Saccharomyces cerevisiae S288C: one gene and its partners. Changing the gene in region 1 together with any one later gene gives a genetic interaction. Each region holds a gene or a part of one and is shown in the gene's direction. Other genes may lie near its edges.

The links.
Region 2: mutations in CAL4 (region 1) and CSE1 together harm fitness more than expected from each alone (negative genetic interaction), as found in Saccharomyces cerevisiae (one large-scale study listed by BioGRID).
Region 3: mutations in CAL4 (region 1) and YER079W together harm fitness more than expected from each alone (negative genetic interaction), as found in Saccharomyces cerevisiae (one large-scale study listed by BioGRID).
Region 4: mutations in CAL4 (region 1) and YNL042W-B together harm fitness more than expected from each alone (negative genetic interaction), as found in Saccharomyces cerevisiae (one large-scale study listed by BioGRID).

Annotation. Positions count from the first base shown.
Region 1 is NC_001142.9:458,141-461,363, reverse strand, and holds CAL4 (Cal4p), read left to right. Parts: upstream 1-1,937; coding exon 1,938-2,723; downstream 2,724-3,223. Other genes in the region: GPI14 (glycosylphosphatidylinositol-alpha 1,4 mannosyltransferase I), read right to left, coding at 1-982; YJR012C (uncharacterized protein), read left to right, coding at 1,171-1,569; signal peptidase complex subunit SPC1, read left to right, coding at 3,003-3,223.
Region 2 is NC_001139.9:47,978-53,009, forward strand, and holds CSE1 (importin-alpha export receptor), read left to right. Parts: upstream 1-1,574; coding exon 1,575-4,457; downstream 4,458-5,032. Other genes in the region: karyopherin KAP114, read left to right, coding at 1-482; anaphase promoting complex subunit DOC1, read left to right, coding at 636-1,388; transcription activator HAP2, read right to left, coding at 4,754-5,032. UniProt on the Saccharomyces cerevisiae protein: Export receptor for importin alpha (SRP1). Mediates importin-alpha re-export from the nucleus to the cytoplasm after import substrates have been released into the nucleoplasm.
Region 3 is NC_001137.3:317,352-320,066, forward strand, and holds YER079W (uncharacterized protein), read left to right. Parts: upstream 1-1,568; coding exon 1,569-2,201; downstream 2,202-2,715. Other genes in the region: ICP55 (aminopeptidase), read right to left, coding at 1-991; YER078W-A (uncharacterized protein), read left to right, coding at 1,295-1,459; AIM9 (Aim9p), read left to right, coding at 2,612-2,715.
Region 4 is NC_001146.8:545,270-547,942, forward strand, and holds YNL042W-B (uncharacterized protein), read left to right. Parts: upstream 1-1,843; coding exon 1,844-2,101; downstream 2,102-2,673. Other genes in the region: YIP3 (Yip3p), read left to right, coding at 1-22, 102-608.

The DNA of each region.
Region 1 (3,223 bases):
GCGTTCTTGAGAGGTAAAATGGTAGAAAGATCAGGTACCAAACAAAATATTGCGATGTGCACACTTTATTATATGTCACAAATGCGAACGTCTGCACAAATAAAACCCTCAATAGGTTATCGAATGTGGGATTCCACCATTCAAGACATCCAGTTACTAAAACAAGCAGCAATTGAGGCACAAATGCGTACCTTGAGAGATTGGACTCACCATTTTCCTTATTTGCAGAATCTAAATACAATAGCATGTTCCACACTGAAAAATTGTGTCTGTGATCCGTTCTGTATAAGTGGTACAAGTATGCCTGATCCAGAAACTCGTATCCGTATATCTTGTACATTGCCCAACCACATCCAAGCAAAGTTGTTAGAGTACTCAAACCGATATTGAGTAGCGATGTAAGTTGTGTTCGTGGACCCTGGTTTCTTTTATTGTAGTATATAAAAATTGCTATTGGGATACAATATATGATTGGATATATTTTGAAATGGATAGAAAGACCATATAAGATTCCAGCTAGGGTGTATCTACTCTTTTGTAGAAAAAAAAGCGTGAACATGATCAAACAGCAAAGCACGCTTTCAGCGTTTCCCCTTGTACTGATGGTGATAACCATCGGATTCAATAGCCAAATGCTTTCCAATATTAAAGCTCTTTTTCTGGAGATGGCCTGGTTCAAAAGCTTCATTATAATGAGCCCAGTAACCAAATCGAAAATAACAAATATGACCTTCCCCAAATGAAACCATCCAAAATAATGATTAGGCACTAGCAGCCAACTTAGTAGCGGTGTGTAACGATATGTATCCCTTGCATAAGGTGATTTGCCTTCGTATACATATTTAGCAGCATCATGAAACACAAAATAGTCGATATCAGTGTACCTCACTTTGAAATTAGCGTCCTGGTAAATGCCAAAAAGAAAAAATCCGACTCTTACCAAGAATGACAGTACAGTCAAGCCCCATTCTTCGCCAGTCATCTTTCAACTTTATCACCTTTTACCTTGCTTGTCAGTTGTTGACTTTTTTATGTATATATATTGTGTTTTTTTTTGTCAAGTTCTTACCAACTATTAAAGTTTCTTTTATTATTATCGGAGCCTGTAAAAGAGCTCCACATGTTTCGGTTTACCTCTTGAAAATTGATTGCGAACATAACGAGTCAAGCATGGCAGCAGGTGGTGAACTTAGTTATGAAGAGTTGCTGGATCACATTCTGAATAACAAGCCTATACCTAATATTGTGGAGGTGCCCAATGTTACGCTGGATGAGGGTTTAGCTAGTACTCCTTCATTGAGGCCAAGACCTAGGCCTTGGGAAGGTCAGCTGCAGCATCAATCTCATCAAGGATCATTAGACAAACCCAATATATCTCTGGACATTGATCAAGAAAGCCTAGAAGGCATGACCTCATTAACAAGGCTGTCTGAATGTTACGATATACAGTCTAAGTTACAGATTAATGACAGTGACAACGATAATGATGACAATAACAATGATAACAATAAAGGCGATGGCAATGATGACGACAATAATACAGTAACAGCAAATCCAACAGCTAGGTAAATTATTCACCCAACAGGTATGTAAAAAAATGCATTTATATATTTATATATAGTACTATTATCTTCCCTTTTCTACTTAAATTTTATATCGCTCATTCATACTTAATCATAGACCTGCCCTTTTTGCGTTTAAAAGAATACAAAGGCACATGCATCTCCTTCTTTTGTCTGCATAATGTTTCTAACAAAGTTAGTGCGATATCTGTCGTTTTATCCTTTCCTTTTTATTAATTTCACAGTCTGATCTTTTATTGTGATTAGATAAGCGGCGTTGGTTTTAATTTCACGCTAGTTAAGTCAAAGCAGAATAGAGAATAGCTCTACAAGAAAAAGGACAAATAAGGTAACTGTGATAGCATATAAAGGCGTATGAGTGAAACACGAGAATCTAATGAAAGTACAGTTTCGTCTTTACAAACCAAACTTTTGCTCAATGACGGAATATCCGAAAACAACAAGAAAAATGTTATACTGCTGAATCAAATAGTGCCGTTTATTCTGAATACTTCACATTATATGACGGATCTAATGTATGTCTTGTATTATCTGGCTCAAAAGCAGGAAGACGAAGTATTAAACCATTCTGGCACATTTATTTCACACAAAAAAGAACTCCTTGCACTAAAGAGTGATATTTGTGAACTAATTTACGATTTAAGGACAGGATTCCGCTTATTATTGGATAGTTGTGAGTTAGATCACTTTGAAACTCCTGGAAAATGCCGGCATTTGATCGAGAAGGTTCTAGTCACCTCCATTTATGGAGTGAACAGGTATATTTTCCAGGAATTAAACAGATTAAATGTCGATTTTAAAGATGAATTTATATTACAAATGCAAAATTGTTTATCAGGATTCGTTAATCTCTACAAATTTTTGAACAAGATCCCTATGAGTAAACAACAGTCACAGATGAACGATTTACAGATGAAGATCTTAGTTAATGTGTTACAGAATGAATTGTTACCCATTTGGAAGTTTCAGTTAGATCTTTTGAATTGTAAACTATTTAACGAGCTCTCTAAGGATAAGGGCCTGATTAATATATATAGAAAAGCTACGAACGATAGTGTTATTGATGTTAGCAAGGGTGAACCATTCATCAGATATGTTAATTGGCTAAAGGACCAAATTATTGGTGAAATGACGGTTTAATGCAAGTAATGTAATATAATACAAGAGTATAAAAATAAGGTTCTACACAAACATCTATAAATGTATAGATTATACTAGTTTGGTTGGCTTCTTAGCGTTTCTCTCATCTACGTAAGATGAACGCCATGTGTACACTTTTCACATTTTAAATACATCTCGCGTGGAGGAGGGATAATAGAAACTATTTAGAGAAAAAAACGAGGCAGATTAAACGAAGTTACTCCAGGATTGGTCAAGCAATACTCAAACAAGATCAACGTCACGTCATAGTCAACTTCAATGTCTGAGATATTACAAGATGTACAAAGGAAACTGGTTTTTCCAATAGATTTTCCCAGCCAACGGAAAACAGAAAAATTTCAACAGCTATCGCTCATGATCGGAGCTTTGGTAGCGTGTATATTGGGATTTGCACAACAGTCCCTGAAAGTTTTACTGACTGCGTATGGCATTAGTTGTGTGATTACTTTAATATGTGTTTTGCCAGCTTACCCATGGTA
Region 2 (5,032 bases), on another chromosome or scaffold:
AGAAAGTGGTTGTCAATGGTAACTTGATACCATACGAAGGGGACCTGATCATTACAAGATCAATGGCTAAGAAAATGCCAGACAGGTATGTACAAGTTCCACTTTATACCAAGATCATTAAATTGTTTGTTTCTGAGTTAAGCTTCCAAAGTAAACAACCGAATCCAGAACAATTGATCACAAGCGATATTAAGCAAGAAGTGGTAAATGCTAATAAAGATGACGACAATGATGATTGGGAAGATGTAGATGATGTACTCGATTACGATAAGTTGAAAGAATATATTGATGATGATGTCGATGAAGAAGCAGACGACGATTCAGACGATATAACGGGACTCATGGACGTGAAGGAATCTGTTGTTCAGCTACTGGTAAGATTCTTTAAAGAGGTTGCAAGCAAAGATGTGAGTGGCTTCCATTGTATTTACGAGACTCTATCCGACAGTGAACGTAAAGTTCTTTCAGAAGCCCTTTTGTAGCTTATATACATAAGCCGTGGAGATATCAGATGTAAAGTAGTTAGAGTAGAAAAAATGCGGCAAAATAAGCGCCGTCTATATAAAAGAAAGAAAGTGTTAAATAAACTGACCACAGAAGGTGGCAAAAATAATACGAGATTTAGAAGTCAGATAATGGACCCGATTGGAATAAACAAAGTCTTGGACCATTTAGCACCCTCAGAGCTTATCAAACCTGTTAAGAGTTGCCATAATAAACCTTCAGTGTTGGTGTTGGATGACAGGATTGTGGATGCGGCAACCAAAGATCTCTACGTGAATGGGTTCCAAGAAGAGATTCAGTATCAGAATCCTACACCGGAGAACTTGCAACATATGTTCCACCAAGGTATTGAAATATTGGATTCGGCAAGGATGATCAACGTGACACATTTAGCGCTTTGGAAGCCTTCTTCTTTTAAGTTGGGGAATCCTGTGGACTTTGCTCTAGATGATAACTACGATACGTTTTGGCAGAGCGATGGAGGGCAACCACACCAATTGGACATTATGTTTAGTAAGAGAATGGACATCTGTGTCATGGCAATATTCTTTTCGATGATTGCGGACGAGTCCTATGCTCCAAGCTTAGTGAAAGTTTACGCGGGGCATAGTCCTTCTGATGCGAGGTTTTATAAGATGCTTGAAGTGAGAAATGTGAATGGCTGGGTGGCACTAAGGTTTCTAGATAATAGGGAGGACGACCAGCTGCTGAAATGTCAATTCATCAGGCTTTTGTTTCCAGTCAACCATGAAAACGGAAAAGATACACATCTGAGAGGCATAAGGCTATATGTTCCATCTAATGAGCCACATCAAGATACCCATGAGTGGGCACAGACCCTCCCAGAAACTAACAATGTCTTCCAGGATGCTATATTACGTTAATAATATGCCGTTTATGATATTTTCTTCCTTGCTATTACCCTGCCTTTTGCTTTTTTTTTTTCACTTCAATTGCAGGGATTATGGAATAAAAAAAAAGTTGAAAGTAGTATAAACACAAGATCAAAAAGTGGCAAAGAGGACCCGCTCTGTTTATTGCTACTCAATTGTAGAAGAGAAAATAGTAGGATGTCCGATTTGGAAACCGTAGCTAAATTTCTGGCCGAATCAGTTATTGCTTCTACCGCTAAAACTTCGGAAAGAAATTTGAGGCAGTTGGAGACGCAAGATGGATTCGGTTTAACTTTATTGCACGTTATTGCTTCCACAAACCTGCCGTTATCCACCAGATTAGCAGGTGCTTTGTTCTTCAAAAATTTCATCAAGCGCAAGTGGGTAGATGAAAATGGTAATCATTTGCTGCCGGCTAACAACGTAGAACTGATCAAAAAGGAAATCGTTCCTTTAATGATCAGTCTACCAAATAATTTGCAGGTCCAAATAGGAGAGGCAATTTCCAGTATTGCTGACTCTGATTTTCCTGATAGGTGGCCTACACTTTTGAGTGATTTAGCTTCCAGATTGAGTAATGATGATATGGTGACGAATAAAGGTGTCCTTACAGTGGCACATTCTATTTTTAAAAGATGGAGACCTTTATTTAGATCAGATGAACTTTTTTTGGAGATTAAATTGGTTCTTGACGTGTTTACTGCTCCATTTTTGAACTTATTGAAAACGGTCGATGAACAGATAACAGCGAATGAAAATAACAAGGCATCGCTAAATATTTTATTTGATGTATTGCTAGTATTAATTAAACTATACTACGATTTTAATTGTCAAGATATACCAGAGTTTTTTGAGGATAACATTCAAGTGGGTATGGGTATCTTCCATAAGTATTTGTCATATTCTAATCCTTTATTGGAAGACCCTGACGAAACTGAACATGCGTCTGTCCTAATAAAAGTAAAGTCCTCTATCCAGGAGCTGGTTCAATTGTACACAACAAGATATGAAGATGTCTTTGGACCTATGATCAATGAATTCATACAAATAACTTGGAATCTTCTGACCTCAATTTCAAACCAACCTAAATACGACATCTTAGTATCCAAGTCCTTGTCATTTTTGACTGCAGTAACACGTATTCCAAAATACTTTGAAATATTCAACAACGAATCTGCCATGAATAATATCACAGAACAAATCATTCTGCCAAATGTTACACTACGTGAGGAAGATGTTGAACTTTTTGAAGACGATCCAATTGAATATATCCGTAGAGATCTGGAAGGTTCAGATACCGACACTAGAAGAAGGGCATGTACTGATTTCTTGAAGGAATTGAAGGAAAAAAATGAAGTGTTAGTCACAAATATTTTTTTGGCGCATATGAAAGGGTTCGTTGACCAGTACATGAGTGATCCATCCAAAAATTGGAAATTTAAAGATCTTTATATTTATCTATTCACTGCATTGGCCATTAATGGGAATATTACCAATGCCGGTGTTTCATCCACAAACAACTTACTAAATGTTGTAGATTTTTTCACCAAGGAAATTGCCCCGGACCTTACTTCCAACAATATTCCTCATATTATTTTGAGAGTGGATGCCATAAAATATATCTACACTTTCAGAAATCAGTTGACCAAAGCTCAGTTGATTGAACTAATGCCCATTTTGGCCACCTTCTTACAAACAGATGAATATGTTGTCTACACGTATGCTGCCATTACTATTGAAAAAATTTTGACTATTAGAGAATCAAATACGTCTCCTGCTTTTATTTTTCATAAGGAAGATATTTCGAATAGTACAGAAATTCTTTTGAAAAATCTTATTGCATTAATCTTGAAGCATGGCAGCTCCCCTGAAAAACTAGCTGAAAACGAATTTTTAATGAGATCAATCTTTAGAGTTTTGCAGACGTCAGAAGATTCCATTCAACCTTTATTTCCTCAGTTGTTGGCACAATTTATTGAAATTGTAACGATAATGGCAAAGAACCCATCAAATCCAAGATTTACTCATTACACTTTTGAATCTATTGGTGCCATCTTGAATTACACTCAAAGACAAAACTTACCACTACTTGTAGATTCTATGATGCCAACATTTTTAACGGTTTTCTCCGAGGATATTCAAGAATTCATTCCATATGTGTTCCAAATCATCGCATTTGTTGTTGAGCAGTCTGCAACAATTCCAGAAAGTATCAAGCCGTTGGCACAACCTTTATTAGCACCAAATGTATGGGAATTGAAAGGTAATATTCCTGCCGTGACAAGGCTACTAAAGAGTTTTATAAAGACAGATTCATCGATCTTCCCCGATCTAGTCCCTGTTTTAGGTATTTTTCAAAGATTGATCGCATCAAAGGCTTATGAAGTTCATGGGTTTGACTTATTAGAGCACATCATGCTTCTAATCGACATGAACCGCTTGAGACCATATATTAAACAAATCGCAGTTTTATTATTACAAAGATTACAGAACTCTAAAACAGAAAGGTATGTTAAAAAATTAACGGTATTTTTTGGTTTGATATCTAATAAATTAGGCTCTGATTTTTTGATCCACTTTATTGACGAAGTGCAAGATGGGCTTTTTCAACAAATATGGGGTAATTTTATTATTACCACATTACCTACTATTGGTAACCTGCTAGATCGTAAAATTGCATTAATTGGTGTTTTGAACATGGTTATAAACGGCCAATTTTTCCAAAGCAAATATCCAACTTTGATTTCAAGCACAATGAATTCCATTATAGAGACAGCATCATCACAAAGTATTGCAAACTTGAAAAACGATTATGTTGATTTAGATAACTTGGAGGAAATCTCCACGTTTGGTTCTCATTTCAGTAAGTTGGTTAGTATTAGCGAAAAACCATTCGATCCTTTGCCTGAAATCGATGTCAATAATGGTGTGAGATTATATGTTGCTGAAGCACTAAACAAATATAATGCTATCTCTGGGAATACATTTTTAAATACCATTTTGCCTCAATTGACCCAAGAAAATCAAGTAAAATTAAATCAATTATTAGTTGGTAATTAACATGGTGTAGAGAATTATATATAGATGAAAATGGAGCTCTTTTGAATAGCTGTTTATATGTAGATAGAGTAAGCAAAAATGAAAAAAGAAAAGCACGTAAATACGATCGCAATATGGTTTCTTTTCCAGCGGAGTACATAGGTCTGTTAGAAATGAAACGAAACGAAACGAAACGAGATTGGTAAAAGTACATATACATATTGATTCAGATTAAATAGGCCATATGGATACCATGTGGTATAAGAGGGCACTTTTAGTTCTTTTAGGAATGATATTAACATTGGAATATTACAAAATTATGTTTTTTTGTCTGCTGCAGCTGCGGTGGAAGTAGCATGCGGCTGTTCTTGTATTATTTTAGTAGTGATTTTTTTATCCTCATGACTATCGTCAGGATCATCGCTAGCCCCACTTTTCTTCGATTTCATGGCTTTGATCTCAGCGGCTGTCAAGAACCTCCCACCTTCACCACGAGGTCTTCGCATCGCATGTTTATGTCGAGATTCGTGTAAGTATGGCTTTCGTTCTCTTGATATTCGTAGCTTTTCCTCTAGTTTAGCTCTTGCATATCGCCT
Region 3 (2,715 bases), on another chromosome or scaffold:
AGCCAGCAGCGTCTACAAGAACCATTTCGTCGTCAAACATCACATCATCGTTTCTTGTGTAATGGATACACAAAGAATTCGAACCAGTAGCGACCACGGGGATATATGCGTCCTTATCGCAACCACCGGATATAAACTTGTAATGAAGAAAGGAATCTAAAGTTCTCTCATTCCTAAATCTTTTAGCAAAGGCTTGATTGAACGATCTTCCTGATATTTGGCCAGCTCTCCTCATAATTCTCAACTCTTGAGGGGACTTGATCTTACGGAACTCTGCAATTCTTTTACTGATGGGTTTGATGGTCTTATTCGCAATGGAATTCAATGATCGATTGCTATTCCCACTGCCATCTAACAGGCTCTTGATGTGTTTAAAATTGGACGAACTGGGATTAGAAGTTGATAGCATATCAAAATAGATGAAATCATTCCTGTTAATTATTTTGGGCAAATATTTAGACAAATCGTTAATGGAAGCAGATTCATCGGCATTGAAAATTTCTTGAACACCATAAACCCCAGACCTAAATCCTTCCCACTTTTCAGCAAACGCATCCTTTGGCGGAACCAGCATGTGGAAAATTGTATCACTTAAACTATCCGTTGGCTTTTCTAAAATCATGACCGAATTAGGTTCATTCCAACCACTAAGATAAAACAGGTCATTTTCCTGTTGGAACGGATAAAATACTGCTCCAGATGCAAATTGGATATCGTTACCAGCTAAAATCACACAACTTTTGGGAGGCAATGTTTCCGCCAACCTAATTCTTCTTTCATAGTATTCCAAGGCTGAAATGCCTGGTGTCAACTCGCCCGACTTTATAAGGAACGGCCTTGTCTCATGCAGTGGTTGGCCTGCCTCAATGGGGATTCTGACTCTATTAGTAAAAGTATTACTTTTATGCTGTTCCAATGGCGATACCAACTTCGAGAAGTATCTTTGGCAAGATTGCATAGAAAACCGTACTGGGTTTATCCTATGTAACATATCAACAGAAAATGACCACTTTTCCTATTAGCTTTTTCTATTATATTCTTTAGAATTGGTGGAGTTTCTTGCGCAAACGATCCACTTTTGCAGTGCAGTAAGTGATCCCTATACCAGGTGAGTTGATATATATTTACTGTATCTTGTACTATTTTATGAACAAGAAAGGCTATTACTCACAACAGTTTTGGTTTCAGTCAAAGTTTATGTGTGAGTGTGAGTGTGAATGTGTGCGTGTTGCATAATTGCATTTGGCCTTTCCGAGAAATAAGTCATTCTTTATTTTTCTCTCTTTACGGTTTAATGGTGCGGCTTTCGTATCTGCGTCTCATCCTTCCCCCTTGCCGCTTGTCAGAACTCTCTAGCTTGGCGATTCTCTATCAACCTGTTATTCCAATTCTTATATCTACCATTACCTTCCAGCATTTTTTCAAATGTGTTCACACGCCCTGTAACGTTTATATATAAATATTTTAATATTTAACTTAGCTTATGCATATATAGTTAAAAGGGATAATAACAATAAGAATAAAAAACACAAACTGCTGAGATAAGAAAAGGAAGCGAATAGTTAATAATGCCTGATTCATCACATTCAATAAGCTCAAAAGATGTTGCATCTGCCATCTCTCTCTATGATCAGTCCATTTACACTAATAACAGGTCTACTAACCTGGACTTAGATCAGAGATCAATGAGCCCTTCCAATATTGCCTCTGGTGAAGATAGGATAACGAGAACGAACTCAGGTTGCTCCATCACATCAGGTGCCTCCATGATTGCCACGAAGGATGGTATTCAGGGGATTAATGTCAAAAGAGATGGGATTCCGAAATATTCACTTAATTTATTGAATTCCATGGTTCGAAAACAATATGATCACAATAATGGAACAAAGTCTCCTACCCCGAAGACTAGCAATATGGTAGACCCTAAGAACAAAAAGAAGAACAAAAAAAAGAAGAATGACAAGGATGACAAATACAAGGTATCGCATGATCAAACCGAAAAGTTTTACAAACTCAACACCACTTCCAACTCCAATCTCACCTCTGATTCTACTACTTCGTTATCGGACCAGTTTTATTTCCAGAAAAGTAACGCTGATTCTGCTCCATTAGACAATGCAAATTACCCACTCTCCGACCATTCCCCCTCCCTAAACTCTATGGATAATACTACAAAGCATAGCAGCAATGTGCACACTTGAATCACGTGAACCACAGTAACCTAATTGCTCAAATTTTGAGAGTTAAAGGAAAGAATAAAATATATAAATGATACGTTTATACCCGCTAAAAAAAAAAAATATAAAACAAAAAAAGGATCTCATAAGACGATTTGTTGGGATATGTCCACATCTTTCGGCTATATACTACATTTAGCTGTTTCCCGTTTCTTTGTATTATTCCCTTCTTATGTATAACTTTTACTAGTAATAATTATAATAAATATTCGTTTTGAAACATGGTAATTTCAAATGTTCAATGTATTTTCGGGCCGATTGCTGACCAGCGACACTTTAAGCCGAACTGTATTTAGTAGACTCCCTTTTCTCATCAGCGAAGAAGAAGTAGCAAAAGCTGTTTAGCAAGCAAGACAGCAATACGAAGACCAAGCATGATTAGGTACACTGTTGCTGGCCATTCCAGAAGGTGTGTAGTAGGAGCTTCGAAAAGAGTGGGTGCAATTAAATGTATCACCGTCGCCGCCACCAAGAGATT
Region 4 (2,673 bases), on another chromosome or scaffold:
GAATCAGTTAGGAGCTTTAGCCGTAAGTTCTAAATTGTAAACACATTTGCATCATTGAAAAACTATACTAACGCGTTAACCTTTTTTCTATATTTCTATAGCAAGTTTCACGTTTCACTCAAAACTTCTCCATGGAAAATATTAAGAGCGAGTTCCAATCCTTGCAATCTAAATTAGCAACCCTTCGCACCCCGCAAGAATTTTTCAATTTCAAGAAAATTTCCAAACCTCAAAACTTTGGGGAAGTTCAATCCAGAGTGGCGTATAACCTGAAGTACTTTTCCAGTAACTATGGTTTGATTATTGGTTGTTTGAGCATTTACACATTATTAACAAACTTGTTGCTACTCTTTGTTATTGTTCTAGTCGTAGCTGGTATTGTTGGTATAAACAAACTAAAGGGTGAGGAGCTCGTAACTCCATTTGGTTCTTTCAAGACCAACCAACTATACACCGGACTGGTTTGTGTTGCTGTGCCAATAGGTTTCTTAGCTTCGCCAATCTCAACTTTGCTATGGTTGATCGGTGCTTCTGCCGTCAGCGTTTTCGGACATGCATCATTGATGGAAAAACCCATCGAAACTGTATTTGATGAAGAAACTGTTTGAACACTCCTACAAGTGTTGGGAAAAGGAGTCATTCTTTTCTATTGTGTATTTTACTCTTCTTCAATATTTAGTTAATTCTTGTCTTTTATTCTCTTTCTCCGTCAACATTAGTATTTAATTGTATACAGACACCATTCATAATTGCAGTTAGCTTCTCTGTTCTTTCTCATTCCTAGGATTTACAATGCAGTCTTACCTTATTTGTTTATGTTTTTTTCGTTTATCAAGCGTGCAATCAATTACTGAAGATTCACGTGCCAAAACGTAAAAATAATAATAACATAACCCGAGAGAGGCAAGATTAGAATCAATTCATCTTTTCAAACAAATGGTTATATCGACTAAGCGAAGTGATTAGATGGTGTACGTCGCAGATATTCAACAGTGACGAATTATATGCGATTGTAAGATTGATTGGCAAATCGTATTCCATTACTACTATTAACAACTGATGGCATCTAGAAGGTAAAAAGGGTCAACGTAGATGAGGTAGAGTTTGAGCTTAGGGCCCTGCCGAGTTTTCATTAGAAGACCTCTACTACACTTCAAAATGAAATACCCCTGCATCACCAGATTCATCAACCTAAACGTACAAGACGTATGAAACACGTATGAAACAGTTGTTGCGAAAAAAACAAGATTAAGTATTTTCAAAGCCCCGGTTGCCTTGATGAACCTAAACGTATAAATAGTTGAGCAATCAGTTTAGCTCCGAAGATCTATGCTTCCACCCTTTAGTCAGATTTAGATCCTATATAGATTATATGGGATAAGTAACATTCCGTCAATCAAGCTGCTCTTCTGACAGGTATTAATATTGTTAAGACGGCTAGTATTGACTAACTTCATGACACAACCACTGTTGTATCTCAAAATGAGATATGTCAGTATGACAATACGTCACCCTGAACGTTCATAAAACACATATGAAACAACCTTATAACAAAACGAACAACATGAGACAAAACCCGACCTTCCCTAGCTGAACTACCCAAAGTATAAATGCCTGAACAATTAGTTTAGATCCGAGATTCCGCGCTTCCACCACTTAGTATGATTCATATTTTATATAATATATAAGATAAGTAACATTCCGTGAATTAATCTGATAAACCGTTTTGACAACTGGTTACTTCCCTAAGACTGTTTATATTAGGATTGTCAAGACACTCCGGTATTACTCGAGCCCGTAATACAACAACCACACGAAATAATCGGGCGTGTGGTCTAGTGGTATGATTCTCGCTTTGGGCGACTTCCTGCCTAAACAGGAAGACAAAGCATGCGAGAGGCCCTGGGTTCAATTCCCAGCTCGCCCCGTTATCTTTTTTCACCATCAGGGCGGAATTTTTTTGTTTAGCATCAATCAACCTAACCTCTCATGCTTCTCCAAGCTGAAAGAAGTAAACTCACTCTATGTACGTGTTGCAACATATATCTGCCAAAAGAATGAAAGTAGGTTCAGAACAAACAGATTGAAAGGAGACCAGTAAAACTATATGGGGGGGGTTGTTCTTCCCGCCTCCTTCTGGGATTATGAAGACGCGCTGATCTGCTATAGTTCAACGTCCTTTTCGCTTACTATTTCTGGTAAGAAATATAAGGAATTCTCGGATTAATTACTTTTCTCGAAAGGGGATTCCGAACACCTACCGGAAAAAAATAGCAGCCCTTAAGGGGAGAGTACGGCTCTTGGCATGACGGGAGGCAGGACAGCACTAAAGGCAGACTAGTCACTGAGCGCTCCAAGTTGGGTATGATAGTATCTTCAAGTTTTGGTCGAGTAGCTATTCCTCTTCTTCAAAGCCACTTACGCTTCGCCCAATAATGTCATGATTTACAAATAAACCTTCCTCTCCGAACCCTTAAAAGTAGGCAAATTGAGAAAATTTTTTGCTCGTCTTTTTTTCTCTCGTTTCGATTACCTTATTGGGAACTTCTCGAAGAACTCGGCGAAGAGGTCCAGAGGAAGATTACTGACTATCATCAAGCCTTGTTTCTTTTGGCCTCTTCAGTAAGCTGCAAATGCAGTATTGGCTTTTTTAAAAAAGAAAAAGAGAAGGAA